Linked DNA regions of Arabidopsis thaliana. The protein of the gene in region 1 interacts with the protein of each later gene in a biochemical or structural test. Each region holds a gene or a part of one and is shown on either strand. Other genes may lie near its edges.

Region 1 (15,347 bases):
AGCAAAGGCCCATCTGCCTATATAAAACCCTAACTCTCGTAAATAAAACTCTGTTTTTTTCACCTTCTCGTTTCAATAAAATCCAACACACACCAAAGACAGTTTAAGGAAAATAAAAGAAGACCACACGATGCATTTTCTTGTAATAGGATTGGTGATTCATCTATGGTTTACGAACGCTTATAAGCTTGACATCATCGATCACAGGCCCACACAATGACGAGAAATCATCGCTCCTCATGGCATAGAAAGTGCTGTAGAACATAATTCTTGATCGGGTCGAAACCGCCACAAATCGAATAGAAGCTCGTTTAAACCCTCCTGTGCCTTTCGACTCGTAAGGGACCTTAAGTGTATCTTTTCCTGCAAAAGCCTCAACCACCATTGATCCTTTGCAAGCATTGTTGGCGTCTCCAACCGCAAAAGACAGCACGTAAGTCTTCCCAATGACAGTCCGAACCACTTGAGCGATGGCACTCTCTTTACCCGCTACAAGCTCAATAGCTCTGCGACCCTGTGGGACTGAGAAATGTTCAACGTCTACGTACTTGACAGCTTTGAGAGACTCCACCATCCATCCAGGTAAAGGAGAGTGGTCGTCTTCTATAAACGGTGGGATCAAAACTCCAGTTGTCGAGCCGGGTAATACTAATGGACCTTCTTCAAATCCTCCGTTTTTCAAAATGTTCTCTGCCAAATCAAACATAAAAGAAAATCATCATTATTCACATGTTCAAGGATTATAAAAACAGAGCAAGAAACAGAGTATTTATAGTAATGACTTACTATTAGTTGGTCTAGGAGGGTAAAGAGATCTCATAGCAACACCATCAATAAGTGGACCACAAGCTGGATCTTCCTCAACACCAGGATTATGAATCACAACTTCAGCAACATCACTCTCAGCTTGAAACGCCCAAGCATATAAATCCCAACCACTACTACTATAAACCGTCTGAATCGGAATCACACCGGAGTCAGGTGCTACAGATATGTTAAGTCTCTCGTCTTGTGCACAAGTTCTAGCAGCACTAAAAGTGAGTGAGTAATACATTCCTTTAACCACTTTAAGTCTTTGTTTGATCGATGCTTCGTTCCCAAGTCTTACAGCGAATTTACCGGCGGGAACAACGAGAAGCATGTCTCCTTGTTTATGTCCTGATTTAATGTATTCGACGAATCCTGTGACTTCCCAGTTTGGTATTGCTAGTTTGTTTAGTATTTCTGTTCCTTTCATGTCTGATGGTTTTGGTCCTAGCTCGAAGTCTCCGTTTGGTAACATGCCTGTGGATATTATCAAAATGTCCTTGTGAATATTAGGAATTTTGGAATTTTTTTAAAAGAAAAAGATATACATAGAGCACGTGAGGTGTGTCCGAAGACAGCCTAAACTGGTCCTAAATGTAACATGAACTAAAGGACCTACTCTCAACTTCATTGATTGGAAATGTCCAAAAACTTTATGGTGTTGTGTTTGTGTCAGAAACATGGGCAAAGGAAGCTGTAATTTTTATTACATCGTCTTCTTAAAAAATCTAAATTTTAAAGCGTAACAAAACGAATATTTTTATTTGTTTTTAAGTACTATCGCTAGCAGAGGCAGGTTCGTACTAGTGATACCAACAAAGTTATGATTCATAACCATTCAGAAACTTTTTTTTAGGTACCAGCATTATATTGATTATTCATATCACAATTATAATTATAAGATTTTATTTCTCGCTTCTATATAAAATTTTGAGTGAAATGAGTTTTTGTTCCCACTAAATTTGTGAAAATAAAAAATAAAATTGCCATAATTTACTGTACACAAAGGTTGAAAATTGGATTTGAGGTACAATTTAAGCTTTTTTTCTTCAAGATATATCAACATAAAAAAAAAGGTATGTTAATATACTTTGAAGGAAAAAAAAAACTTGAATTGTATAGTACCCCAATTCCAATTTTCAGACTTGAAAGTGATAAATCAGAACTTTGTTATTAATGTAGTAAACCGGAATATGTAATGAATGTATGTGTATGTATATGTGTAAATAGAGTTACCGTCACGGAAGGAGACGGTGGACTTGGCGGCCATGGCGGTGGCGATGAAAAGAAGGAAGAAAGACACGACGGTGACGCCTTCCATATTGACGGAAGAGAGAACGAGATGAGTGTAAAATGTAATTAGCAAAGAGAGTTGTGGCTATTGCTTATAAGGGGATAGAACTATGAAAATGACCTTGGAGGTTTCTATATATTACGAGTGTGTGCCACTGTGGCTAGTTGGTATCCCACGTGGGGTTGTGACCTCATTCCTTTTCAGAGATTTGGAACCTTATTGACCATTTGGGGTTACTTCCGGAATAAAAAATTTGTAAAAAAAAAGTATTGTTTTGATGCAATTATATTTGCTGTTTATTGAGTCAAGCTCTGTTTAGGCTGTGACTGGGGAAGCCAGAAGTGTCCAATTGGGACAGGTTTGTAGATGATTAGAGGTAATTGCGTATAAACAGGTAATGGGCAGGAGTATTTAAATATATTGCTAGAAATATACGGAATAAAATATTAAATTTACTAAATACCGTTTTGGCTCGGATTCGGATAGTTTTAATCGTATAGTTTTGATCGGATTCGGATAGTTTAAATCGTCTAAATTACACTTCGAATTCACTAATTCTGATAAATTTTCACATCTTTAAGATATGAATATTTTGGATAATTTTGAGAAATTGAAAATATGTGTTAATGTCTAATCTGTAAATTAAATTGTAAATAAAACAAAAAAAATAAAATGAGTATAGGTCGGATCGGAAAAAGTGTTTCAAAACCGCCTGAAACTAAAACTACCAAAAACAAAACACTAAACATAACTATAAACTTATGATCATGATCCCTTATCCACATGCTATAAACACTTAAGTCTAAGATTGTGAAAATAATTGAGATGTTTTTTAGTAATCTTACATCTGAATCTACGTGACAAATATGATTAATTATGATAGTAACTGGGAAATGCCAAATTGGTCGTTTAGATCATCGGTGGACAGATACTATTACTAGGAGAATCGTTTATCGTGGCATGTGTTACACCCACAAATCTCTTCCTTTTGAAACTTTTTTTTAAGTCTTTTGTCTTCTTCGTGCTCTTTTTTGGTTTGTTTCTTGGCTGTATTTTTAATAACAAAATTGAGAATAGTCTATGGTATTAAGGGCGCCGTTCAGTGGCTAAGAATGCGGTTTCCAAAGTCGGCCATGAAGTTGGCCTCAGAAAAATTCAGAATCGTGTCTTCTTCTCATTCTTATCGTCCCAAGAAATTGCATTTTCTAAAGGATTTCATTTTTAAAAACAAATACTCTAAAATCATTTCTAACTACCTGTCTTATGTTCGGTTTTTGGAATTTAGCTCCGCCAAAACCACCAATATATGCGTTCTTTACTCTTAGAGATCAATATTCTAATCAGGTGTGCTTTACGTTTTTGGTCTTAACTACACGTTTATTTTAGTGGCCGAATCATTAAACAAACAGGATGTGTTGCTCTCTCTTTAGGGATATGTGTTGTAGGAACGATTTACGAGAACGTTCATTCGAACGTGAGGATGAGGATGTACACTACTTCGCATGGTCACGGTCATGCAACTGTTCTGATGCGACTGTTTATGGCATCGAAGATTTGTACATTCTTCTATCAATATGCCATATTGTTTTGTAAGAAATGGTATTGATTTTGATGTAGTAGTTTTCTAGTGATATTTGTTTTTGAGCTAAATAAATTCGAGATATCGTTCTAACGATTATAATAAAACCACAAATAGTTCCCACCTTATATAATATGACTTGATGTATATATTTTACTCATATCTAGTGTGGACTATCTATCTTTTCTACTACCTTGTTGATTATAAATTTAAAACCGTGTATTTCTACACATACTTACGGTTGAAAATCTAAAATGGCTAGTCTTATTTGTAATATTTATCATATATCAGAAAAACGTAACACGTAGCTCCAATGAAAGAACTGTTTCTAATGGATCCAATTAAATGTTGATTAGGACTTATAAGACCCAAGTTCGAACAAACAACAATCACTATTTAAAATGTTGAATCTAAAAAAGATAAACAAGTGTATAATAAGAGTGAGAGAAGAACCAAAAAAAGACGAGGAACCGTCGAAAACGTGGGTGGGGCATGGGTAACGAACGTAGTGGAACCCATACAAAAAAGAAGAGATCAAAGCAAAAGGCAGGATCATGGCTTTGTCTCCTCTTCATTGTACATTTCTTTTACTCTTTTACGGGCCCATTTCCTCATGACTCGATCTCTTGTACAGAGAAGAGATATCGATAACCTTTTTTTGTATATATATTAGTAGGTCCGTTATAATTATATAATTTATATTGGTAAAGACAAAATACTATTTGAGGTACGTTGTATTCATATAATATACGTAGTATTAGGTAGGGATGTTGAATTCAAATTTTTGTTTGATTTTGGGTCGGAGTTTCCAGTTTAGGTAGGGATATTGCGTGATTTTGGAAATCCCTTTGATTGACGAAAGGTTTATTAATGTTTTTATACCAAAAAATTTGAGGTTCGAGTCCCAGATACTAAGATTTATTAACAAATTTGCAGATTAATGGAGGTAAATGTACATGAGATCTCCAACGATGTACAATTATAGCCGTTCGTCAAGATTCTACGTAAAGAGGATCATTGAATATGTCTATCAAAAGCATGGAGAAGAAGAAGGAGATATCATCTCTCGTAGATCTAATAAGAGTCGTAAAAATTGTTCTGGGTAGAATTGTATATGAAACAGTTCTCATAATTTGCAATAAATAATAAATATAGACGGCAAAAAAAAACCCAAAAAAAATTAAAATTTGATGACTAAGACCAAATTGTTTTTATTTTAAGATCAAACATCCCTAGTATTATTAGGAAATATATTTAAAATTGCATAATTCAAAAACAAAGTTAACAAAATAGATAGTTTTGAACATGAGAATGAATTCTTTTCTTTTTTGTGTAAAGATGCTGAAAATTTAAATAATTAAAAACCGTATTTTTTATATAATTTTTTTTGAATCGTATCAAGATTTTTTAATAGCAATAATTCTTACTTTTCAAATATTGCGTAATTTTAGTTTGTCCCTCTAAATTCGAAATTAGAAGCACCAAAATCCTTTCAAAACCGCATAAGAGACAAATGATAGTAAGACTGATTGGTGGAAGTGTGGCCATATACTATTGTTTTAACATTTAGCTACATAAATTTGGCTTTTTGGAAGCTAGGCTATAACTATTTTTTAAAATCATGCAATATTTAATAAATCTCCGCAAAAAGAAAAATATTTTTTTTAATAATCATCAGTAATAAATAATTATTGGCAATTTGGCATTTGGCAAGTGAGAGAAAAGAATAGGAGTAAGTCTACTCACATTTAATTGAACATTGTCATTTTATTTCTGTTAAGTAATTCATTAATGAATTTAGGCAAAGGACCCTCCTGTGCTAATGTGACTCACATGGAAATGTCTTCAAATACAAATCCATATCGTTCTCTCTACTGACACCACTCTATTAAATACTTTAAATACCTTATCTCATTCTTATCTACCTCGACACTTATTCACTAGACCGTGCAAAGCATCGTTGTATATATATGATTCATGTAAAAAATGTTTAAAAGTGGCATCTTTGAGGAATTGTGTAAACATTAACATCTAACTTAATGATCAAGTTTACATTACACATCAATCTTATGTATAAGTTCAGTGTTTAAGTGAACCGTACATAACCATAAAAGGTAAAATTGTGTGGTAGATTGGAGCCTAAAGAGCCATAAGGAATGTTTGGTTAAGTGGGCTTTAGTTATATAGTACAAGAGACTAACATGCTTAAGGAATGTTTCTTTGGTAGAAAGGTAATGCTCCCGAAGCCTCTCCCGCTTCACCTGCATATGAAGTATCGTGTAAGAACTTTGCAATAAGCCCCCTAACACTACAAGACAGAGAAAAGTTCATGCTACAAGACTACAAATTCATAAAATTATATAAACTATTATTCTTTGATCATTATTAGCACAAGATATGAATATGAACCCTACGAAAAAAAAAGATATGAATATGAATATGAATATTTGTGTATATTAAATCAAAATTGGCTACGACAAAAAAAAAAATTCAAAATTGGCTATGGGAAAAAGCTAATTATGTAAGGTTGTTCACAAAAGGGCTCTTTAAACACAGACGATTCTTGATCCTTATACAAGTCTTATGTTCAATCTTGCAAGATCAATTTAAACTACAAACTTGAATATTGTGCTCCACGTCATAGGTTTAAAACTATAACTATAAACTACAAAAGTTGGTGGTTCCCTTGTTGACATTTTCCAACGCGTTGACATTTTAACACATTGACTTGAGACGTCCATATACTCAATGGCTTACTCCAGAACCTTGAAGCCCGGTGGAGTAGATCTAGATAAGTAAGGTGAATCATCTTCTTCCTCAAACTCTGTTTAACTGTCAAGAAAGCGGATCTTATAGGCATGGGAAACTGTTTTCTAACCGAACAACTTGCAACAATTCCAGGTATATATGAATCTGTGTGAGGAGACACATCAATCCCAAGACGTTATCTCCATCTAAGGAAGGTGTTGGCATGGCCATCGCCGTTAAGAGATTTTACTTAACCTATGAAGAAGCCTTGCAAAAGTGATTTGTAAGAAATTAACCTCTACGAGAGAGACTGATCACTCATATATGTATGCTTAACACGGCAGCCGAGGTTTGTAGGTTGACCTAGAGTTTCTACGACATAACCTGCATCCAAGCTTGGTCAAGCTCATTGGTTACGGTTCGGATGATAATTGTTGTTCATTGTTTCTGAATACTTTCCAAACGGAAGCTTAGAGCGTTACATTTATAGGAGTAAGCAAGCTAGAAAATTGTATTGAGCGCATTTCTTAGAATTTACTACGAACCTCCTGAATACATATTCTCAGGTAAGTCCTCTCTCAAGCTACAGAATGACCATTAAAATTCATACACTAACCTAAAACTGATTGCACGGTAATACGCATATACAGGGAGATCACACATGGCGGGCGATGTATACAGCTTCGGTGTTATACTATTTGAGATCTTAACTGGTTTGGGAAACCCGTGCATCATCTTAGCAGAGGAAGCAACAGAGAATAGAAAAGAAAACATTGTGGAAATGATCGATCCAGATTTAGAGAATAGCTATCGTGTTGAAGAGGGGATGCGTATGTGCAAGCTCATAAAACTGCCTTGAAAGAGATCCCAAGGAAAGACCATCCATGCAACAAGTGCTAGATAATTTGAATGCTATAGCCCATATTTGAGAGGACAAACTAAGGGTTATAAAGGATTGTGGTTCAGAGGTTACACGCCTCTCTTCAGAGCTCCTATGAGGAACTGTGAAAACATTTCCAAAAGCTAGCTTAAGGGTTTGTGTGCCTTTATGTCTTTATGTAGCATGATTTACTCTCCTCCTACCGGTGTGGGATATTTTACTCATATTTCTGTAATAGCTCAATCAAGCTTACATTACACATCCAATTCAATCTCATAAAATCTTATACATAAGGTTCACATATCCATGCATAACCATACAAAAGCAAATTGTGCGGTATTGAAGCCTAAAGAGTACTAAAACAGTGACCCTACTATAAGCACAAGAGAGACTAACATGCTTAAGGAATGGTTCTTTGGTAGAGAGGTAAAGCTCCCAAAGCCTCTCTCTCAGCTCTCTCCCGCTTCACCTGCACATGAAGTGTCGTGTGTTAGAACTTTGCTATATGATTCTTCTATCACTACAAGATAGATAAAACTGTTTTTGTTCTTACAAGAGCCAACATGTCTTGGAGGTAGCTCCTGAATGGAGTCTGCACTGCCTGTGGAATTACAGAGACAAGGAAAAGAAAAAAAGATTTACATAAGCTTCCTATCTCACAACTAACAAGCACTATCTCAAAAAAAACTTCTTTCATAGACAAGATCTTACAAAGCTTATCAAGTTACAATTATATTACAGAACCAAAACAGGTTTCTGAAAACAGAGTGTTCTTGATCCTAATACAAGTCTTAAGTCAAATCTTGCAAGCTCTATCTACAAACTCCATAGCTATATACCGTTTTAGCTCTGTTGTCACTTACTTAGAGACTAAAACATACCTGAAGATTATCTGGGAGGTATTCATGTTTCATAGAAAGATCCATTGCACGCATAAGACGCTGGTTCCGAGCATCAACAATCTCTCTCGGTAAACGATTAAGAGCTTCTTTAATATCCAAATCATACAAAGGATCATAAAGATCGTCGTATCTAAGACCTAAAAAATCGTAAAATTCCCAAAATCAGCCAGAAGAGAATTAGGGTTTGGTTTCTAGGGTAAGAGAGAAAGAAAGAGTACCGTATCTGCGGAGGCGATTAGAAACAGACTTCATATGCATACGAGCTAAGAAATTCTTCCTGGGATCTACTAGTCTCTGGAGAAACGACGCCATTATCTTCTTCGGAGTAACGTTGAAGATGTGAATTGTGATGAAACCCCTTCGCCGCTATTTGTAATTTAACCCGGGAACGAAGAAGGAAGAAGCATCCAGAGACATCTGTTTAAACGCCGTCGTATGAAACTCTAGCCAAACGGCGTAGTATGTACTCTTATCAAAAAACGGCGTCGTATGACTCACCAAATAAAACGCGTCAACCGTTGACTCTCAAACGCGTTTTCGTTGACTTTGCTCCTCGGTGTGAAAAACTAAAAGTCCTCTCTTCTTCATTGAACTCTAGTGTTAAGATTTAGCAGAGAGTATCCGAATGGGAAATTGTCTCTCAGCTTCGACACTTCCCACCGAACCAAATGCTCCCAAATCAGGTATACATATATATATTTCTCTGCGGATTTAAGTACTTTTGATTTGAATGTTACTATAATGGATATAAGTTTTGTTATAATATATGTATAGTGGAGGAGGGTGTGAAAGTCTTCACGGTGGCAGATCTGAAGAAAGCGACTAATGATTTCGGAAACCAGATGGAACTAGGAGAGAGCTTGGGATACATCAATCCCAAAACGTTATCTCCGGCCAAGAAAGGTGTTGGCATGGCCGTCGCGGTCAAGAAAATTTACTTAGCCAATGAACAAGCTTTTCAAGATTGGCTTGTAAGTAATTATATCATCTCAATCTATAGGAGAACCTTCGGCAAAACCAATAATATTGTTAAGTTTCTTGTTACTTATTTATTCTTCTAAATTTTTTGATGTTTTTGGATGGTAAATGTCTATGTTGCCTACCCCTAGAGATGGGTCAGTGTGTCTTAACATTAGAGATGATATTTTTGTAGGTTGACGTAGAGTTTCTACGACATAACTCTCATCCAAGCTTGGTGAAGCTAATTGGCTACTGTTATGATCGTGATATGTTGTTTATTGTTTCTGAATACTTTCCAAATGGAAGCTTAGGAAGTTACATCAGTAGAGGTAAGGAAGTTAAGTTTATTCATCTCCTTTTCGTCATTATATCTTGTGAGTAGACTCAAAGCAAGAAGAATCTTGCTCGAGCAAGACCCAAAGGTAAGAGCTCTTAATAAGAGCTTTAAAACTAGATCTAAAAATTGAGATAGCTCATTAGAGCTTTATTTAGTGGAAGTGAGGAAAATATACTAATTGAAGAACACCAAGCTAAATGATTCCTAGATAATTTAATATCATAGAGAGGGAATAAAGAGAGTTGCTCAAATTGATTTCTGGAGCTCTCACGAGTTTACGATCTTAACCTTAGATCCAATAGTAATTCATCTTCCTTTTGGATTTAATGGTTTATATAATATCATAGATAGTCGTCCAAAGTCATTGCCGTGGGAGACACGACTTAAGATATCCATAGGAGCGGCTCAGTGTCTTGCCTTCTTGCACTCTAGGAAGCAAGCCGGTCTATACCGCAGATATCTCACTGCTTCGAAAATCCTGCTCGACTCGGTTTGTATTCACCTTGCCTTTTTTGTTTTTTTTCTTGAATACTTGCTCCTTACCTTTAAAGTGACATTTATGGGATATGCAGGACTTCAACGCAAGAGTTTCCTATTTTGGAAAGCCAAAAGTTTCTCTCGATGAATTGGTATACACCATCGGGTTTTCAAATGTAGCACCTAGATATCAATACCCACCTCCCGAATACATACTCTCAGGCAACAATCTTCTGCTTCTTCCTTATATCTTAAAGTTAAAAGTGACCATTAAATTCAAAGAGACTAACCTTAATTGATTGCACTAATCAAATGAAGGGATGTCGAACATGGCGGGCGATGTGTATAGCTTTGGTGTTATACTACTTAAAATGTTAACTGGTTTAGGAAAAGACCTCACAATCTCAGCAAAGCGAGAAATAAAAAATAAAAAGTACAACATTGTGGAGATGATCGATCCAGATTTGAAGAATAGCTATCCACTTGAAGCGGGAAGACTTATGTGCGAGCTTATTAAACAATGCCTAGAGGTAGACCCGAAGATGCGACCAACCATGCAAGAAGTGCTAGATAATCTGAATGCTATAGCTCAGATTTGAGGAGAAACTATATAAGGGTTACTAATGCTGAAAACATTGTTTCACTATAAGACAGTTATAACATAGTCAATGTATGCATTTGTATACAATAACTCGTATATGACGAGAAGTATTAAGAAACAAGACCTAATTCTCCATTCTTATCCATCACTCAAGAACAGAGCTATATGCTAATCAACTTTGAACCTTTACACTATACAATGATCATTATCTTCTTCGACCTCTCTCTCTGCAATACGTTGAAAATATGATTACTTTGGAGCCACGCTATGTGTCAGAAGAATAACCGAGAGATGACGTGTAAAGCAAAAAGCGTTGTGAAAATCTTTTATCTCCTCTAAAATAACTTTGACTGGTGTACCATTGTTATTCTTGCTAGCTATTAACTGGTCTTGAAATTTGGCGCATTTTTCTTGCAAAGCAAGCAATACGAGGTGACAAGGTATTCATGGCAGAGGTGATCGATCCGGATTTAGAGAATAGCTATTAGCTATCCTCATGAAGCGGAAGACATATATATAAGCTTATAAATAATGCTTTCACCGTCACCCGAATAAATGGCCATAATGCAGCAAGTACTGGATAATTTGAATGCTGAATAATCTCATATTTAATTGCTGAAACAAAGTTCCACTATAAGGAAAGTTATAACATAGTCAATGTATGCCTATGCACAAATACAGTTGTGTACAAAAACAATTGCAAAAGATTCTTTTTAATGTGGTTCAAAGGTTACATGCTTCTCTTCAGGCTCCGGGTGCACCTGAAACAAGATTCTTGTTTATATGCATTTTTTCATATCAATGCTTGGATTGTGTAGAATAGATATAATTTGTTTTTATTACCTCTTTAAAACTTATGGTTCGGATCCTTATTTCACCTCTGCTTGTAGTCATCTCATCCAATATCTCCGCGTCGTAGAATTCATCTTCACCTTCTGATAAATGATGAGAAGACCCTAGTTTCTGCTCACAAAATGGTTTAAAGGTATCACACACGTGTACACAAAAAGCCCCTGAATCAGTTTAAACTCATTAAGAGACCAAAGGTTTACCCTATATGCGAAACTTGAGTGTTGGATAGGTGCTGCTACTATTTCTTCATAGTCAGAAGCATCTAACACTTGAAGGTGTTGCATATCGAATAACTTGGGAAGCAAGTGTTCTCTTATACTTATAAGTAGAAAGAAGAGTGCGGGGAAAAATATCCCGGCCATAGGAATCCATGTCATACCATAGCACAAGAGAAAATAAACCAACTGGAAAAGTGTGAATGTTACAATCACTCTGTATGGTACCAACTCCACAAATGAAGCATGCACTCCTTCCAAGACTCTGCATTTAGATGAAACCAGTGATTGAGAAAGGCAGACCTTTCTAAAAATAGACTAAAGAAAAGATATATATTAACTAACTTGAAAAGCCGGCTAGGAGGAATAAAGAGAAGCAACAATCTCTCCCAAAATTGGTTTCCCGGGAGACTGTCTATCGCCATATAAGCAAAGTAACCCCAAAGTACTGAACTTGGGATCATTTTAATGACTGTCACTGCAAGAAGTGTTAAACCAACAAGAACTGATTGCAAAAGATTGCTCACTCTTTGCTCGTTTACTCTAACCGGTAAATTAGCCTCTATATGAACATCGGGATCGAATTTTCCTTTTGTATCGCCTCCTTCGTCTGGTCTCATCACAACTTCTTTCAACTCTTTTAAATCTGTTGCTACAGAATTATCCTGCAAAAAATTTAAGGTTCTTTTTTTTCTTTAATTTCAAACAATTTCTTTCTATAAATATAGGAGAAGGCATTATTACTAACCTGAGGTGGGGATGTCTCCATCTCTATAAACACTGATTGCATTCTCCCATATATTTCTGATTTGCTTGCTTTCATTTTCATACACTCCTTTGCTTTCTTCACCATTTTCTTGCGTATAAGCTGCAAAAAATATATCATCATCTCTGTTTCAACTCTCCTTCTTCTTCTCATATATATATATGTATTTGTTCTTACTTGACGATTGAGAACCGCAAGACTCTTTGTGTGCATTGGAGCCTGAGGAAGAACACCATTTGAAGGTGGAAGTCCAAGTAGTCCACATATCAAAGTCTATAGATCACCACCATAACAACAAGATTTAATTGGTATTTATGCCATGAAATAAGTATCTTTGAAATAAGTTTTAAGAACATTTAAGAACTAACAATAATTCCAAGCAAGAAGATGTCATAGTGATAAGCAGAAGGATTCTTTAGATTAAACTCTTTCTGTTGTGCCATTTGTGAAGCTACACTATGGTCGAAGAAGTAAAGTCCTGCTATCATCACACCAGGTATAAACGCAGCTAAGATATACATTATCGGTACCTTCCCCATGTCCTGTATATAATAAGTTTTGTATTCTATAAGTTTTGCATTTGTATTGATCACTCAATCATGTTTTGCATATCTTTAATCTTACCTTGACTACAGTCCAATGATACAATGAAGCTGGCTCCCATGGAAGAGGACAAAACAGTCTCCGGGGAACACTTGGAAGGACTTCACTAGGAACTGTGTAAGACAATGCCGTCCATAACAAGACCATTAAAGGAACACCGTAATCTCCAATGAAACTTCGAAGCCACCCTATAGTTATAAGTGGTCTAAGTGAATATCAATGTACACTTTTCATGAACTAATGTAAATAGACAATGACGTACCAAAACCATATTTCCAAGATTTTGCTCTCCTACTCTTTAGCGCGGTGATTAGAAGGCCTAGCGAGAAAATTACCGCAAGCAAACCATTTGCATAAATCAAGAGGAAATGAGATTTCCCTGTTTCTTGATTTTTAATCTCGGGGGCGTGAAACTCACTGATCAATCCCTGAAAACGTATTATAACTAAGTATGTTACTTGTTGACTAAGTAACCTAGAAAATGAAGTTGGTTATACCTTTATAGCTTCTTGTAAAAACAGAACAGCAATCAACATGCCAAAAAGTTCCCCAGCGATTCTCGTAAACCTCGTGATGATTGTGCCCGCGTTAAATATCGAAAGAAGGATAAGCAAAACTGAAGTCCATACACAAACCCTATAGAAACAACATATAACAACAAACTCTTAGAAAGCAGATTACATGCACGTACACTAACAAGATTATTGATTTGTTGTGATCATTACCATGCAACCCAAGCTAGGTAAAGTTCTCGACCGATATCCGGTCTACTAATGCAGAAACTGTAAAGATAAGTATACATAATGATGGTTGGCTCTGCAACTCCAACTATCAACAATGGTTGTCCACCGAAAATCGCATGGATGATTCCGCATATCGAAGTAGAAGCTAATGTTTCCACTGCACTTAGAGCTCCACCTTTCAACAACAAGTTAAGTAAAAATCATCAAAGTTAATTCTTTAGGCGATTCATAAAAAAGCAACATGGAAAAGAAATATTTATATATATACCTGTATGTTTACTTAATTGTTCACCAAAGGCAACTACAGGAAGAGACGACGCAAAGAAAATATAGCAAGTCGGAGCCAAAATTCTAGTGAAACATTGAAATCAAGTAATTCAATGTTTGGCATCAATATAAATTTCAAGAAAGATTGAAATATAATTAACCTTACCTAATACCGGTTTTTATGCCACGAATCCAATCTTGTTTGTAACATTTTCGTCTACCTTCGATATCTCGAAGAATTCCCTGAAATGGACCACTTTCTCCTTCACTCTTCATTTCTGCATCAAACGAGAGCACCTAGCGTGTTACGCACGCATTCACAATTATAACCTATAACAGCAGACCATTAGAATAAGCTTCTAAACATATATTGATGATTCGACTTCGACATACCTGGAAAGCTCAAGAATCGAGGAATATGTTAGACAGAGAGGGAAGACATCAAAGGAGATTCAAAAAAAGACAAGACAGAGAAACTTTGAGAAAAGAAGAATGGTGGGAAAGACTTGTATTGCTGAGATGGCATAATCTCATTGGCTGGAAATTAATAGCAAAATTTGTTTTTGGTTGCTGTTAAGGGTAAATGGTAAAAATAAAAACATGATTTATAGTTAACCGCGTAAATTTTTCCACCTATGATTCTAACTTCTAACAGTTTCAACAATAATGGTGTTATAAAAAGTTAAAAACTAATTAACCTCTATGACACGTTAGCATGTTTAGTTAGTTTGGATGATAAATAGTTTGACCTTTATTTGGTTGATAAAACGTAATTAGATTTTCTAAATTAATACTACGTATATTAGTGTATTCTTAATTGGCGTTCTCTGTCAAAATGTTCACTCAAATACTTTTGAATTTGTGAACTAAAACGTTTTCATCCACTGACGTGGGTTTATCCAGCGGTAAATCGGTGCTAGCTTCGACGGTCGTTGGGAAAGGATAAATTTAATTTTGTGTGAGTTCTGCCTCTAGAAAATGTAAGACTTTTGAATGTCCATTGACATAATCTATTAAAGGAAATGACAATTTACTTGTATATATTAGGTACCATTTATATCAAATTTATCACTAAACATTTATAAATACGATTACATTTTGATACTAGTAAAATGAAACAAAACAATGTAAAAGCATGAATACATTTTTTTTAAACTATGTTAAGTATATAAAATGTTTTTATGCTAATTCGATTTCAGGACCAATATGGCGGTTAATTTTTGGTCCGCACCACTACGGACATGATTTGTGAATGGTAAATAAAAATTGGTTCAGTCCATATTTTGGGTACCCGAAAATATCTGAAATATGATTAT
Region 2 (16,304 bases), on another chromosome or scaffold:
TTTAACTATCCAATAATGGAAACTCTCTCAAACATCATGGTTAACCCTCCGGCATATCCTCCGGATCTCACCATCCGTCCCCGTCAACGGTGAGATGTTCCCCATCTTCACCATCGACTTCGCAAACTGCTCAAAGAACGCTCCCTCATTCTCCGCGTAATACTTGACCATCTCCATAGTCTCTATGCTTTGCGTGAACAATATCTCATCAGAACTCAAGAGTCCTCTAAAGTTCACAAGATTCTTGTAGTAGTAATTGTCAAACTTAGTCGGCGTCACATAGTCAAGATTAAAGAGGTTCTGGTCGTTGCCCGAAATCGGACATCCCTGCTGCAACATAGAGGCGTAGTCTTGATTCAAAGTCTGGTCGGGATCGTTGTTTCCAGTATGGTTGTATAACCTTTGTCGGAAACCAATACACCTTGAGTTTCCTATCGTGTGACTCCCTACATTTGAATCATGGTTATTAGTTCAATTTAGAAATGATAATTAAATTTATCAATGTGTTAGTTTTTAGGGCATTTAATCTTTAATAGAGAGATAAGATAACTTTTCTTATCCAATCACAAACATCGTTATTAACATTTATTTATACTTTTAATTAGTTTCTTCCATAAAATCACAATTGCTTTAAGACCCCTTTAAATTCAACCACATTAATATCTTGGACGAGTGTAGTATATATACCTAAGAGGGCAACAAGATCGGTGAGATCAAGTCCTTGAAAGTTGAACATAGTGAGAATTGTTTGTAACGTGGACTCGGGAGAAGGAATGTTTTCCATGGAACCAATCAAGCTTGCTTCTCTTGCATCTCTTCTTCCAAGATATACTTCCCAACTAGGTCCACCACACTGTAGATAATTACAAAAGTAACGAGTGTTTGTATCAATTATATATCAATCCTAATGATTGTGTTAGAGAATTGACTTACAATAACAATAGAGTCTCTAGCAACGAGAGCCAATAGATCGGCGCAAGAAACTGTTTCAGGACATTCATTTTCCAAGGCAGACTTGATCTCGTCAATGACTTCGAACCCTCGAGCAGAGTCTCGATTTGCATTTGATCGTTTCTCGCTTTCCATGGTTCCACTACTGTCCAATAGTACGGAAGCATCACATCCCTGCACCAACCAGAGTATATATATATCAAACAACATTTCTCCTTATTTAAATCAAAACATTATATATCTGAAGAATAGACTAGATTTTGTCAAACATTGACGAAACAGTCGTGGAAATGGAGCCTAAGAATTGAGGCAGCCATGCGAGGGTCATTGAAGTATGCATTGGCGACGTAAGATTGAACGATGGCTTGTGCGTTTGGGCACGAGTTCTCGTAAAACTGAGGGGATAGAGAGGCTACAGAGCTCGTGCTTTGATGTGTTTGATAACAAATACATAGAGGAAACAGCGCAACAAGTGAGATTTGAGAGAGAACAATGCCCGCCATTGACTTCACCGTTTTTGTATTCATTTGGACTCTCAGCGATTATTGTGGGAATGACGATGAATGCATGGTTGGATAATTTATAGAGGAAGGCGTCACCAAGTATGATTTGTCACGTCAACGTGGCTTTTAATTTGTTGGATGGGGGGATACATTAATTGTGAGTGTTGGTTTGGATATAAGATTCGTTACATCTATATATAGTTACCGATTTTCACTCCTTCTTTTGTCTTCCTTTGTGTTGGGAATAGAAAACGTCAAAATCCCTTTGTTATTTTAAATGGGAAGATGTCGATTAGAATCGTGAACCCACCCGTGTGCTAACATTACCTTAATTTGTATCACTCAAAACAATAGAGCCTGAGCCATAAATGTTACGAAAAAGAGAGGGTTTATAATTTATTCCATGCAACGACCATAAGCGTAACGACCCACACCAAACAAGTTAATTAAAATGAAACTAATGATGACCACCCGGAAGCTTCTCTTTGATCTTCTCCATCATGCCTTTCTTCTCGTGGTGAACGGTGCCGGTATCATAGGCCGTCGTTGTAGAACCTAAAGAAGAAGTCTTGTTGGAGTCGTGATGACCCGGCAGCTTCTCTTTAATCTTCTCCGTTATTCCCTTCTTCTTCCTCCTCCTTCCACCTAGTCCATCATCCTCCTTCATGCATGAAAATCGTCAGAAAAATTAAAAAGCTATATGTATTTGCAACACTTTCCATATTTTATTTAGTAATTTTAAATATATGGTATACCTTGAATATAATTCAAATTACAAACAAAAACTTATCATTTGAACACAAAAAATGGTTTATAAAAAATATGTAGAGTTAAATCTAAAATATGGTTTCCTGATTTTTTCTAGTTAGGTGAAGTCAAATTAAATGAAACTTCTTGTATTTGGTGATATAGAAAGAGTACACTAAATATTGCAAAAGCAATTGCGTAAAACAGAAGCATACCGAGCTAGAGCTAGAGCTACTCCCAGAACGGTGAAGCATGCCACTTAAACCACCACCTTCAGCCACGGCTGGAGCTCCACCGGCAGTTCCATAGGCTCCGGTGGTGGCTGGAAATGGATTTCCAAATTGGTCAAGCTGTTGGTGAGTCTGCTGCGCTCCGGACTGGTTTTGGTAAGACTCCATATTCCTTTTACAATTGAACCTTTTTTTAGCTATAGACAAAATTAAGACACTGATGGATAAAGATGTATACGCTCTTGAATGGTATTTTTATAGAACCGCAACTTTGGATAGGGATCATAATCACATATAGTATTATGATTATTATCAAATTGCGTTGAAGTGACACACGTGGCGATTACGTAAGACGTTGGTTTTGTGGTTAGTGTGACACATGTCCGTTATAATCGACACACCTCTTTTAACTCGATATCCGTAAAAACAACTTATTTGGGCCGTATGGGCCTGAATTGAAAACCTGAGTAATATACATTGCCAAACAACTGCGGTCGTTTCCCTGATAACTTGTATGCAAAAGAACATATAAACTTGTAAAGAATTGAATTACCAAATAATTACATGTGAATTATACGTGGTTGTATGTGTCACAACTCACAAGTATTTTAATAACATGGAATAGTTGAAGCGATAGAAAGATAAATAAACGAAACCAGAAGTAGATATTTTATATTAATTCAAAGATCCATCACTTACATATATTATTTAGCGACTCAATGAAAGAAAGCCACATCATCATATTATTACACCACACAAATACTTAAAATAAGCTTAAACAAGTTGTTAATCAATCTAGTGATGACCACCGGGAAGCTTCTCTTTAATCTTATCCATCGTACTTTTATTTTCATGGTGAACAACGCCAGTATTACCATAACTTGTGGTGGTTCCAGTTTTGTGAGTTCCATGATGACCTGGCAGTTGCTCTTTAATCTTTTCTGCTATACCTTTTTTCTCATGGTGAACGACATTAGTGTTAGTACCATAAGCCGTGTTAGTCCCAGTTTGATGTGACCCATGATGACCTGGTAGTTTCTCCATAACTTTTTCGGTCACACTTTTTTTCTCGTGGTGAACACCACCAGTGTTAGTAGTACCATAAGTTGTGTTGGTTCCAGTTTGGTGTGATCCATGATGACCTGGCAGCTGCTCCATAACTTTTTCCGTCATTCCTTTCTTCTCGTGGTGAACACCACCGGTACCAGTAGCACCATGATGACCTGGCAGCTGCTCCATAACTTTCTCCGTCATCCCTTTCTTCTCGTGGTGAACAACACCAGTGTTAGTAGGTCCATGATGACCTGGTAGCTTCTCCATGATTTTCTCCGTTATTCCCTTCTTTTGCACTCCGGTTTGATTCTGGTGAGAATTCATTTTTCTTCTTTGAATCGAAAATATACTTCTTTAACTCTTTTCTTTCTTAGGTATATATAGATGAAATATTCAAGACTTTGATCGATGAAGATTAATGATCTCTTGAATGATACTTTTATAGAGATGCAAATTTCATTTTGGATAGGAATTCATCATCACATAGATATTTTACTCAATACGTGTTGGCCGACATCGTAAAAGTAATATATTCAATTCGTAATTGATTAAGAGTCACACACACATGGCAAGTAAGACGTCGGTGTAGTAGTGGTTAGCGACCGACGTAATTTTAACTTATATGGGCCTGTGGGCCTTTAGATATGAAAGGCCCAATAATGCATATCTTTTACTAAACTAAAAAACGATGTCGTTTGGTATGTTTCTTCCACCTTTGTTGTTCATCTTTTGATTTTTTGAAATTGTTAGTAAAGAAAGGAAAAAAGCTTTGATTTCGATTTCTCAAGCTGTGTTTTTTTATTTTTCTTCTTCGCATCAGGAAGGAATTGAAAAAGGTATGATTTTGAAGCTTTAGCTCTCATTTATCTCTGAATCCTAATGCTTTTTTCATGCTGTTGTTTCAGATTTTTGGTGTTAAAAGATGGATCCAGATGCAGTCAAATCGACTCTCTCGAATCTAGCATTTGGAAATGTAATGGCGGCTGCTGCAAGAAATTATCAAAAGGTAAAGAATGTTTCTCAATTTGTTTTTGAAATAGTGATAGACTTTATGAGTTTTTTTGATGTTTCTTTGTCTGAGTAGATTACCTGTGAGGACTTACTTGTATGGTTTTGATGAGTTCTTTATATGGGTTTTGTAGGAAGTTCTTGCAAATGAGAAGGCGCAAGGATCAAATCCTGTTAATGAAGAGGTTGATCTTGATGAACTTATGGATGTAAGTGCAATGTTGCTTGTTGTGACTGTTAAGCGTAGGTCTCTATGGTAGACTTATTTGTCTATGTTCTGTAGGATCCAGAGCTAGAAAGATTGCACGCAGATAGGATTGCAGCACTAAAGGTTATAACTTTGGCATTGTATTGTGGCCTATATAGTTATGCAGCTTTTGGTATGAACTAAAATCTTCAAGATTTTATCTTGACAGAGAGAGGTTGAGAAGAGAGAATCGTTTAAAAGACAAGGGCATGGTGAATATCGAGAGGTGAGTGAAGGAGATTTCTTGGGTGAAGTCACCAGGAGTGAGAAAGTGATATGTCATTTCTACCATAAGGAATTTTACCGGTGCAAGTAAGATCTCTCATCAGCTTATTTTTTGTTCGTCTTCTGATATGTATATGAGCTCATAACCAAACATATTTACTGCATTACTGTAGGATTATGGACAAGCATCTGAAAACTCTTGCACCTAGACATGTGGACACAAAGTTCATTAAAGTGGACGCAGAGGTTAGTGAACCATTTGATGAAAGTTTTATAAGAGGAAATGGCTTTTCAACAATCCTTTGCTGAAGCTAATGCTTGGCTGAAATAAATGCAGAATGCTCCTTTCTTTGTCACGAAGCTTGCAATAAAGACTTTGCCTTGCGTTGTGCTTTTCAGGTTTCGCCTCTTTCTATTCCTTCTTACATACAGGGTTTGTTGTTAGGTGTATACTCATAAAGTACGAGTTTCTTTACCATTCTTAGCAAGGGAGTTGCGATGGATAGGCTAGTTGGGTTCCAGGATCTGGGAACCAAGGACGATTTCACAACGAATAAACTAGAGAACGTTCTTCTTAAAAAGGGTATGAAGAACCTCGGTCCCACCTTTTTTTTATTATAACGGCCCAGTTAGAGAATTTTTGCTTAAAGAGTGCAAATCTTTAACAGGAATGCTCAGCAAGAAGAAGAAAGAGGAAGATGATGAAGACGCCGAATATCAAGAGAGCATACGGAGGTCTGTTAGGTCTTCAGAGAATCTGGACTCTGATTCTGACTGATCAAGCAGTTGACATCAAAGATCTGCCATTGCTGCTAGTCTCTGTTTTCCCTTTTTGCTCGTTTGTTATATGATTATTAGAAAAGAAAATTGCGATATGAAATCCAAACGGTCAAAGCAACATTACATTGTATCAAGGTATATGTAATACACCAACTTATTGTCACTGTTTAATAAACATTGATCTAGTTGCTTAAAACGTTTCATCAGGTTCTGTGCAATGGTGTTTTCATCCACACTCCGCCTCTAAAGCCAACATCTTCAATCGCGAAAGACTCTAGCTCTGGACACCAGTTTGCGGTCACGGTCCTCAGGTACGGCATTGACTGTTGCAGCACTTCCCAGTCCATGTCTAGGTCCGACAATGAACTTAACATTAAACCTTCAATTCTCCAGTGAGTATTCTCGTTTCCCCAGAATGGTTCCTGCATTTTCACCAAATTACCTGAACATATTGACATGTACCTCAACATCGGAAGCTTGTGAGGACTCAACCACGATGGACTCGACTTTCCAGGATAGAATTGTAGAGAAAGCTCATGGAGCTGGTGTGGAGGAGTAAGGGCGTCTATTTTGGTTATGAGATCATCGCCGTAGCTATCATAGCAGTTGATCGAAATGGACATCAGCTTGCTTAGGTTTATCAAAGAATCAAGCTCCTCCTCTTCTATCTGATCGCCACGAGTCAGAGAAAGACCAAGTTTCCGAAGGTTTGTGAGATTTTTCACTTCACTGAGCTTGCACCCATTGTTGGACCTGGCTGGCTTAAATCCCAACAGAACTTCGAGCTTCACGAGACTTCCGATACCCTTGGGGAAGCATTCAAGGGATCCACAGTTCGTCATGTCAAGTACAAGGAGTTTCTTGAACAAGACGATGCAAGGTTGAAGTTGTTTCAGATTCTGACAGTAGCTTGCGTCTAGAATCTGAAGGTTGTGGAGATCTTCCATGGAACGAGGAAACTGGATCAACGGATGTGTGTTGCTCAAACTAAGACATGCTAAGTGTTGAAGGCTTGCAATCTCATCCAAAATCTCAGACAGAGGAGCATCAAATATGGATTTCGAGATATCGAGAACCCGAAGATATTTGCAGTCTGTGAATTTCTTAGCTAAGTCTGAGTTGAGCTTGTTCACTTCACCTGTCTTAGTTGTTGACACTACGCCTCTCAGCTTATGGTTAACTTTGATCTGCTTCTCATCAAAGTTTCCACTAATCCCAAGGTGACGACAGTTGAGGCCTTCCGGGTTAGAGAACGAATCCTTCTTGGCTATATCGATCACCAAATCACGAACCATGTCATGAATCTTGCAAGTGATGATGGTTCCGCTATAGGTTTTGTCTACAACTTCTATTAGACACCTGTTTGTGAGCCCGGAAAAGCAGTCTTCTCCAGATTCAGTTGCAGATCTTCCGTTTCTCCACATGACAAAACCTTCTCCGATCCATCCATGTACTAGTTGTTGTTTTGGTATAACACAGTCTTCTGGATAGAGCGAAAGCGTGAGAATGCACGACTTAAGGTGGGAAGGGAGTTCATCGTAGCTCAACTGCAGAGAAGACATAACATTGTCAGTTTCAGAAGTGTTTCCTCTTAGCTCATCCTGAAAATGCTCTGCAATTCGTCTCCATTCATGATAGACATGGTCTTTGCACAGAAGTAACCCACCAACCGCTTTGATTGTCAAAGGCAAACCTTTGCATTTCGTTACAATCTCCTTGCCAACATCCTCTAGCTCGGGACGCTCACAAGTACCGTCATTTGCTGCAAATGCCACATTACAAAACAGCAGCCAACTGTTATCAGGACTAAGGAGCTCTGGACGGTGAGTCTTGTCGTCTCTCGCTTGCACCCTTTTCGCTACAGATTCCGACCTTGTGGTCACGATAACGCTACCTCCTTGTCCTCTAGGCAGTCCTTGGTAGATCTTGTCCCACCAGCTCAAATTCTTGTCCCATACATCGTCCATAACTATCAAGTACCTTTTCCCCAAAAGATACTGCTGGATTTTTCTCAGCAATGTTCCAATATCATCTCCAACACTCGCGTCCCCCAAGTTCCTCAATATGCTTCTCATGATCTGTTCTTCAGTAAAAGTCTGGGACACAGACACCCATATCCTTCTTTCGAAACGATGTTCGATCTCTTTGTCATTGAACACTTCTTGAGCGATTGTAGTTTTACCTAGCCCTCCCATCCCAACAAAGGCCATTATCAAAAGCTGGCTGTCGTTTGATCGAAAGAGCCACTCCTTGATTTTTCTTTTATCTCCTTCCAAACCAACCACCTGAGTATGATCATACACCGGAGAGCTCCACCGATCAGTTCCATTATCTCTTCCAACATTACTCGGCGTTATGAATTCGAAATAAGGCTCTACTTGACTCTTTATTTTCGTTATCCTCTCATTGATCTCTTGCAAACGTTTGCTTTTCTTGTACTGCAACGGAACCCGGGCAGGATGAAGCCGCGAAAGCCACGCATTTGATGACCTTTGCTCGTTCCCATCATCACCATCCGCGAGCTGACAATCCACAAGTATATCCTCAGCTTCGTAAACCAGTTCTCGTAAATCCGCAACAAGAGTACGCAACGTTTCATTAGTTCTCTTCTGCCTCTCTGCATCCTTGAGAAAAGACTGCATATATTTCAATTCGCTTTGCAAATCTTCCAACTGTTTTCGGTAGTCCGATACGGTTCGGCCTTTTTCTTCGAGGATGTTCAAGGTTTTCTCTAAAAACACTGTTACAACAGCGTCCACCATTTACTCAGACCCTGCAACTTCAAGAAATATCTCTAATTGGTAAACTATAACCAAGCAATAATTCAATCGGTTATGTGTATCATCACTAGATTGAACTTTCCAAAAATCAATCAACCAACGACTATAGAATCTCAATAACCAAAAGATTGGATTATTCTTTAACTAATCCATATCTTCTCAAGAAACATGTAGAATCCTAGAACATTGAAACAAATCTAACCAAAGTAAAGTAAACTTACAAGGTTGTGACTTAGCCTTAGCCGAGAAGGATCTGAAGCTTCAGATCTTTGGATTTTTTTAGCAAAACTTGTTTCAGAAAAATGAGCTTACATAGAGACTTTATCGAAATTGAAGTCAATGGTTTAACAAGTCAAGAGTCAACCTTACTCGTTTTCTTGGTTACTGCTGCCGACTACGAAACTTGTCTCAATCTACTTTAGAATCTTATCATTGAGTTTAGACATGTTCTGACCTCATAAAACAATATCCGCATTTCACTTAGGAAAAAAAAAAATGATTTCACTTTCTGTAACATTTTATAACCAATAATTGCATGATAGTGTTTAACAAAGAAACAAATAAAAGAACTAAATTTCTTCTAAGCTTTTGAATTATCTATTTGCTTCTTGGCTTTTAAGAACTCAACAAGTCCTTGGAGTACTTTATCCACAGAGTCACTCCTCATCAGTTGTTCAGCTACTTCTGCTGGTGTAACTTCAATTTCTCGGATAAATTCTTCAATCTGCTCGAAAAGTATATGATCTTGAATCTCGAGATAATTCGAAGCCAAAACCTTAAAAGCAGCTGGTGTGCAATACGACATGTGAATGTGCATGTCCATACGTCCTGGCCTCAACAATGCTGGATCCAATTTTTCTCTGTAGTTAGTCGTAAACACTATAATCCGCTCGTTACCACAACTTGACCATAGTCCGTCTACAAAATTCAATAGACCAGAGAGTGTGACCTGAAAATGACTAACCAAAACATTAGTAATGCTAATAAGCAAAAGATCACATAACAACATAACTGATAGTGAATCAAAATGCATCACCGTTTTATGTAACGGATCGTTGTTTTCTTGATCAGTAGACCGATCTTTTAACTCGATTGAACAATCTATATCTTCCACAACTAGAATGGAACGATTTGCAGTAGACATAAGTAACCTCCGTAGCTCAGCATTGTTGTTAAGTGATGTCAAGTCTAAGTCATAGATATCGAAGTTAAGATGATTAGCTATAGCTGCGATCAAGCTTGATTTTCCAGTACCGGGAGGACCATACAACAAATAACCTCTCTTCCAAGCTTTTCCAACTCTCCCGTAAAAGCCTTTCCGCTGCACGAATCGATCAAGATCCTCCACCAAGTTTTTCTTCACCTCGGGATCCAGAGCGAGAGTGCGAAACGTGGAAGGATGATCTAGAGTCACAGAGGTCCACTCCACGGAGTAAGAATCAACGGTGAAGATCTTCAATGTTTTAAACTTTTGTTTAATAGAAGCAGCTTGTTCCACAACAAACGGTAAATAAGATTCAAGAACCATGTTCTTGAACTTCTTTCGGAAACTAAGCTCGTAACTACGCACTTCTGATTTCAAAGTGGAGTTGAGATCTCTCGGGTTACGAAAATCCTTTTTATCGACATGGCGACATACAAGGATCCAACTAAGCTTGACGCCATCAAAAATATCAACAACTTCCTCATCACGTTCAACAGTAACACTATAATTGCTCTGTTTCTCAAGTTTGTTAACTTTGATTCTTCTAGTGGAATTAGATATCTTGGTGGAGAGATAAGCCTCTGCAGCTTCAAACACTTGGTTGTGTTCAAAACCTCCAAATTCTTCTATTACAGCTGTCATCTGATAAGAGAAGTAGCTGAAGAATCTGCGAAAGCCGTGAGAGATATATTCATGAACCTCGTTTGGCATGTAATCTTGAACCACTGATCGAGCTAGTATTGCGGCTGCAGCAACTGATGCAACCGCTGTGAGAGCTGTTTTGGCGGTGGCTAGATGAGATTCACTAGAGGAACTCATCTCCTTCAATCATCAAAAATAAAATAAATACATTCAAGTCGGTTCTCATAAATCAAAGAGACAAGAAACTAATCCAAAAAAAAATCTGATTATAGAACAATAGTACTGTATTTGTTACTAGGTTACGTGGGGATAAATCTGATTAGGTTAAACAAACGATGCTATTCTTTTGATAATTTTACGATGAGCACACAAATTGGAATCTTAACAAGTAAAAAAAAAAAAATGTTAAGGTTAAGGAGAAAATTTGATACCAGTTCTTCTCTTTTATTTGATGAAAGGCTTCTGCGATCAATAATAAATTTTCACGAATACCTCTGATCATAAGATTGAGATAATTAGGGAATGAAAGATTACTATTTAAATGGTGATGGAACACTAAATGAATGGTCTATAGTGGGCCAAGATTACGGCCCATTTGATAAAGTATCGTTAAAAATGAAAACTTGATAGCCCCTACAGACTTCTAGAGTCTGGTCGCTGGCTCGCTGCAAAAATGCAAAGTCTTTGCTCCTTAACATATATGCTGACTTGTCTTTTATACTTGAAAATTGTAATAGTAGTTTTAATGTTAGAATGACATGTTAGCAAAATATTTACTTTCTTGAAAAGTAATTTTTTCTTTGTTGAAAATAATTTGGATTATATTTCGATTTATGCGTGTCTTATGCGGACTATACTAATCTTTTATGTATCGTTCCAATTTTAATAGATGTTCTTCGAGACAACATTTTGGAAAATATTTCTAAGAAGATTGTTTTATTTTTGATGATTCTTTACAAAATATCTAATAATTGGGTTTTTTCAAGTTCATATATGTTTCTGCATCCTTTGTTTGATTTTTTTCTTTGTTGATTTAACTATGCTTGTGTTTAAATTACTATAGTGCTTACCCAATAGTAATTCAAATATCTCTCATTTGACTTAATGATATTAACTAATATAGAATCTAAAAAATAAAACATTATGAAACAAAATCTAGAAAATATTTTTTTATGAACCGGAGGAACTAATGTAAGATATTAGACTAATACCAAGGTTTAGTTATAATAATTTTCAAAGTATAATTATGCTATATAAAAAAATTATGGTAGAAAAAATCTCGTTCGATAAAACAAAACTAAAGAGAAAAACATGCAAAACGATATTTCTTCTAAGCTAGCGTCTTGAAGGTAGAAGGATGGTTAAGAGTAACAGAGGTCCATGGGTCTGATGAGTACCAGTAATCTGTGTCGAGAGTGAAGAGCTTGGGCGTTTTCTTCTCTTTTATTCACCTTTTTTTGCATTAACCAATAAAAATATGTTATAAATCCTATTTAAATTACATAATAAATTAAAGCTATAATTATAATCCAAACCGATATAAAATCTCGTTTAATTACAAAATCTAAACTCTAATTTTCCTTTATAAATCCAAACCGCTATTTAAACTCATTTAATCGTAAGAAAACTAAACTTTAATCGTATTTTCTAAACCCAAACCGACATTTAACCTCGTTTAATTGTAAAATCTAAATCTGTTTATAAAACTAAACCAATATTTAACCCATTTAATCAGAAAATCTAAACTCTAATCGTACTTTCTAAACCCAAACTGATATTTAACCTCGTTTAATCATAAAATCTAAACCCTAATTTTTTCTAATAAACCCAAACCGATACATAATTTTGTTTTAGTGGCAAATTAGATTTTATAATTAACTTTCTATTATTGTTATTAGGTGTCCGATTTTAATTAGGTAAAATAAAAGAAGTTAATATAAAGTTCATTCAAATATTTTTCTTTATTTATTTGTAAAGCATCTAGGACTGACGAAAAAAAAAAAGCATCTAGGATTAGGAGTCAAAGACAAAAATAAATATAAACACGAAAAAGGAAATAACTCGAAAAGGAAATGACATTTAAAAGCCCAATTTTAAGGAAAAATAGAAATTGAGGAAAAGGAAGAAGATCAATTATACATCTACAAAGAAAGGAAGAAAATTAAAACATGTACGGCCCATTTAATAATAGTATTGACTAAACGAATTGTGTAGTGGTGCCAAAATTTTGGCCCACTTAATTAGTGTCAATTCCTTTTCTCGATACAAGGAAGGAATCATTGAGATTTTCTTTTTTGTCGGAATCATTGAGATTTTCAATTTCACAAATGTGGCTTGAAGATATTATTTTATCGGTGAGATAAAAAAAAATCAACTGTCATAAATTAAGATTCGGAAAGTTAAAATTTAACCTTTTTTTTTTTGTCGGCAAACTTTTTTTTTAGTAGCTTAAAACAAATTGTGCTAAAAAAAGTTAGAAAAAAAACAGAGAGAAAAAACAAGCTAAACGCATAGTTTTGTATAAATACACGTGCTCTTCTCTTTACAGCTACCACTCGGATGCAGAGGTGTTTTATCTGATCTCCTCAATTTTTTCCCTTTTTTGGTCTCAATCTCTCTAAGATTATTTTATCTTAGGACTAGGTTTATAAATGAATCTGTAGATTATAGACAGTAACTGGCGATTTAATGATTTAGGTATTGATATCTCACAAGTTAATGTTGTTCAACCTCCTCATGTTTGGCTTTATCTTGGTCGTCCTCGATCTTCTTGGCTTTTAACAACTCGACCAAACCCTCAAGAACCTTATCAACACGGTCATTCCTCACTAGCTGTTCATCAACCTCTTTCTTGACTACGGAATCTGTTCCCTCCTTGGTCTTTTTCTTGTTCTCCAACTCTTGCTTCTCTGTTTTGGCCTTATCTTGTTCGTTTTCGATCTTCTTGACTTTCAAGAACTCAATCAAACCCTCAAGAACCTTGTCTACAGAGTCATTTCTCATAAGCTGTTCAGCTACTTCTGCTGGAGTGACCTCTGTCGCCTCAATACCTTCCTCGATCTTGCTGAAAAGGCGGTGCTCTTTGATCTCAAGATAGTTCAAAGCAAGAGCTTTGAAAGTACTTGGTGTGCAATACGACATGTGGATGTGCATATCCATACGTCCTGGTCTCAGCAAGGCCGCGTCGAGTTTCTCTTTGTAATTGGTTGTGAAGATTATGATCCTTTCGTCACCGCAGCTTGACCATAGACCATCTATGAAATTCAACAGTCCAGAGAGTGTCACTTTTTTATACCGTGGATCTTCTATATCGTCAGATTCCCGAGGAGGTTCATCGCTAGTCCTATCTTTCAATTCTAGTGAACAATCGATATCTTCTACGATAAGAATCGAACGATTAGCAGTGGCAATCAATAATCGCCGGAGCTCAGAATTGTTGTTAACCGCGGTCAACTCTAGGTCGTATATATCAAAGTTGAGATGATTGGCCATGGCTGCGATCAAGCTTGACTTCCCTGTGCCTGGTGGACCGTACAGCAAGTAACCTCTCTTCCAAGCTTTACCAACCCTTTTATAGAAGTCTCTTCGCTTTACGAATTTGTCTAGATCTTCCATCACACTTGTCTTGACATCTGAATCCATTGCTAGAGTTTTGAAGGTAGAAGGATGGTCAAGAGTAACAGAGGTCCACGCGTCAGAGTAGTTCCCATACATGTTTTCTGGGGAGAGAGTGAAGATCTTGAGTGTTTTCTTCTCTTGCTTCATCAACGTGGCTCTTTTCACCATGAATGGCAAGTAAGATTCAAGAGCTACGTCTTTGAATTTCTTGTGGAAGTTGAGTTCGAATGATCGGACCTCAGATCTCAGTGTGGAGTTTAGATCCCGTGGGTTGTGGAAGTGCTTGGACTCGACATGACGACAATGGAGGATCCACTGGAATTTGACGCCATTGTAGGTGTCAACAACTTCTTCGTCACGCTCCACGGTGACATTGTAGTTGTTTTCTTTCTCATGTTTACTCACTTTGATTCTTTTGTTAGAAGGAGAGATCTTGGTGGCTAGATAGGCCTCTGCAGCTTCAAAGACTTCATTGTGAGCAAAACCTTCAAATTCTTCGATGATTATCGTCATTTGGGATGAGAAGTAACCAAAGATGGAACGGAATCCATAGGAAATGTAGTGATGCACCTCGTCAGGCAAATAATCTTGGACTAAAGATCGAGCTAGCATTGCGGTCGCAGCCACCGAAGCCGCGGTGGTGAGAACCGTCTTAGCCGTGGCTAGACGGGATTCGGCGGAAGAAGAGTCAGAGGAGCTCATCTTGTTTTGGGTGTATTTGTGTTTTTTGAGTTTTGTTAAACCCAAAATCTCATAATTTATATATAATTGGTGGGAGGTGGGAACCGGAGACTTATGGACGCAAGGAAGTAGCTTGGATCCTTCCATCGCTACAACGTGGAAGTTGCTAACTAATATATAGAATAACAAAAAGAAAGAAGAAGAATAGAAAAGTAGAGTTTAAGTGGGCTCCAATGACTTGTTCATGAGGTTTATTTGACTAATCGAAAAGAATATTAGTAAAGAAAGACTGACTTAACGTGTGGGTCACGCTTCTTGTAATTTAAAGTCATTTCCTTTCAATAAATCCAAGAACAGTTAATATTTGTATGTATATATACATCACAATTGTATACTACTATCAAATCAATTCCACCAGATTCTTAAAACGTCCTTGTCTATATGATATTTCAGCTGTTGTGTGCTTGCGTCAAGATAGAGAGGACATTCATATATCCATCTCTCTCTTTTGTATCATTGGACAATAATGCAAAAATGCTAAACCCTAAAATAGTGTCATTGAATAGCTAGAGTTGGTATAGGCTCTTTATTGGAACAAGAGTTTATGTCTTTCTAAAGACAATTGGTTGTTCAAACAAATTCAGAAACTAGTACCTTGGGATCACTAATCTGAGTCAAGTGGCCTAAACAGAGTTACCTACTGAGAATGGATGAAAAGTGGCCTAAAACCTTTTGGACATCTTTAGGATATATCTCATGCATCAATATCTGCTTCTTCCGTGGAAAGAACAACACTCACTGATGTTACATGATTTTCTAATTTAAGATCCTAGATACTATTTCATACATATATATATATATATATATATATTTTGTTTTCAAGCTCGACATTTCTCTTACCAATAACTATCTGCTGCGTAAGTATGCAGATAGGATAATCCTTGAACAACACCCTTGATAATGCAATTTCTTTTCTCCCAATTTAGCAATGAACTTTGTGTTTTATCTACCGATCGATCATAAAACATGTATCAAGTTAATTTATTTGATTCAACAATTAAGAAACAATTCAGGCCCGGTTTCTAAATAAGGCCCAAATTCTAAGTTTTGTTTTTTTCAATGTATAGAATAAGACTGGTACTTTTAAAAAAAGTGGCTCAGGGCCCAAATTATTTTTAATACTTTCAATTTTTTCAACATTTTCCCTCATCCAAGAAACGCTACATTTGTTTACGTATTACTATTTACAAATTGTTTTATATAATGTCTGTTCATATAAAGTAAAGTTGAATGCATAGGTTTTGAAACATAAATATGATTTGTAATTGTTTTAGAAAAACCCAACTGTATTAGTTCATCTGAAAAACGAATGTGCTTGAGTTGTTTTTTATTGTTGTTTTAGATTCTCAGTTTTTTTTTTGAATTTATATGTCCTTGCTTTTTTAGTTATATGTATAGATTGTGAGACGGTGAAATTTTAGAAAATTTATTTCTTACACTAAAAATATAACTTGTCTTTATTAATCATGTCTCTTCATATTCAATCTAAGCATATTCAATTTTATGTTCTTGGAAAGTTTAGTTAAGTTTTTGTCATAATCTTATATCTTACGTATTAGTTATAAGGATAGCTCC

Evidence for each region.
Region 2: the proteins of AT5G25440 (region 1) and ZAR1 form a complex in vitro, tested with the Arabidopsis thaliana proteins (one study listed by BioGRID).

The regions. Positions count from the first base shown.
Region 1 is NC_003076.8:8,850,211-8,865,557, reverse strand, and holds AT5G25440 (Protein kinase superfamily protein), read left to right. Parts: upstream 1-8,748; 5' UTR 8,749-8,835; coding exon 8,836-8,893; intron 8,894-8,984; coding exon 8,985-9,238; intron 9,239-9,363; coding exon 9,364-9,499; intron 9,500-9,854; coding exon 9,855-9,997; intron 9,998-10,079; coding exon 10,080-10,206; intron 10,207-10,302; coding exon 10,303-10,583; 3' UTR 10,584-10,843; downstream 10,844-15,347. Other genes in the region: DGR2 (transmembrane protein, putative (Protein of unknown function, DUF642)), read right to left, coding at 164-690, 787-1,284, 2,044-2,128; AT5G25450 (Cytochrome bd ubiquinol oxidase, 14kDa subunit), read right to left, coding at 7,709-7,777, 7,862-7,909, 8,190-8,347, 8,429-8,522; AT5G25430 (HCO3- transporter family), read right to left, coding at 11,299-11,346, 11,429-11,548, 11,638-11,917, 11,998-12,317, 12,401-12,520, 12,596-12,691, 12,787-12,960, 13,043-13,209 and 5 more. UniProt on the Arabidopsis thaliana protein: Together with BKN2/SZE2 and ZED1, required for effector-triggered immunity (e.g. Pseudomonas syringae effector type III HopZ1a) via the activation of ZAR1, thus being essential for resistance against P.syringae pv. tomato DC3000 expressing HopZ1a.
Region 2 is NC_003074.8:18,928,329-18,944,632, reverse strand, and holds ZAR1 (HOPZ-ACTIVATED RESISTANCE 1), read right to left. Parts: upstream 8,960-16,304; 5' UTR 8,746-8,959; exon of another isoform or gene 8,518-8,745; 5' UTR 8,507-8,517; coding exon 5,948-8,506; 3' UTR 5,834-5,947; downstream 1-5,833. Other genes in the region: AT3G50990 (Peroxidase superfamily protein), read right to left, coding at 28-446, 688-853, 934-1,125, 1,221-1,478; XERO1 (dehydrin xero 1), read right to left, coding at 1,912-2,115, 2,417-2,599; LTI30 (dehydrin family protein), read right to left, coding at 3,227-3,808; PLP3a (thioredoxin domain PLP3A-like protein), read left to right, coding at 4,407-4,490, 4,627-4,701, 4,776-4,823, 4,909-5,051, 5,138-5,210, 5,302-5,363, 5,450-5,547, 5,633-5,742; AT3G50940 (P-loop containing nucleoside triphosphate hydrolases superfamily protein), read right to left, coding at 9,105-9,473, 9,561-10,547; BCS1 (cytochrome BC1 synthesi), read right to left, coding at 13,086-14,816.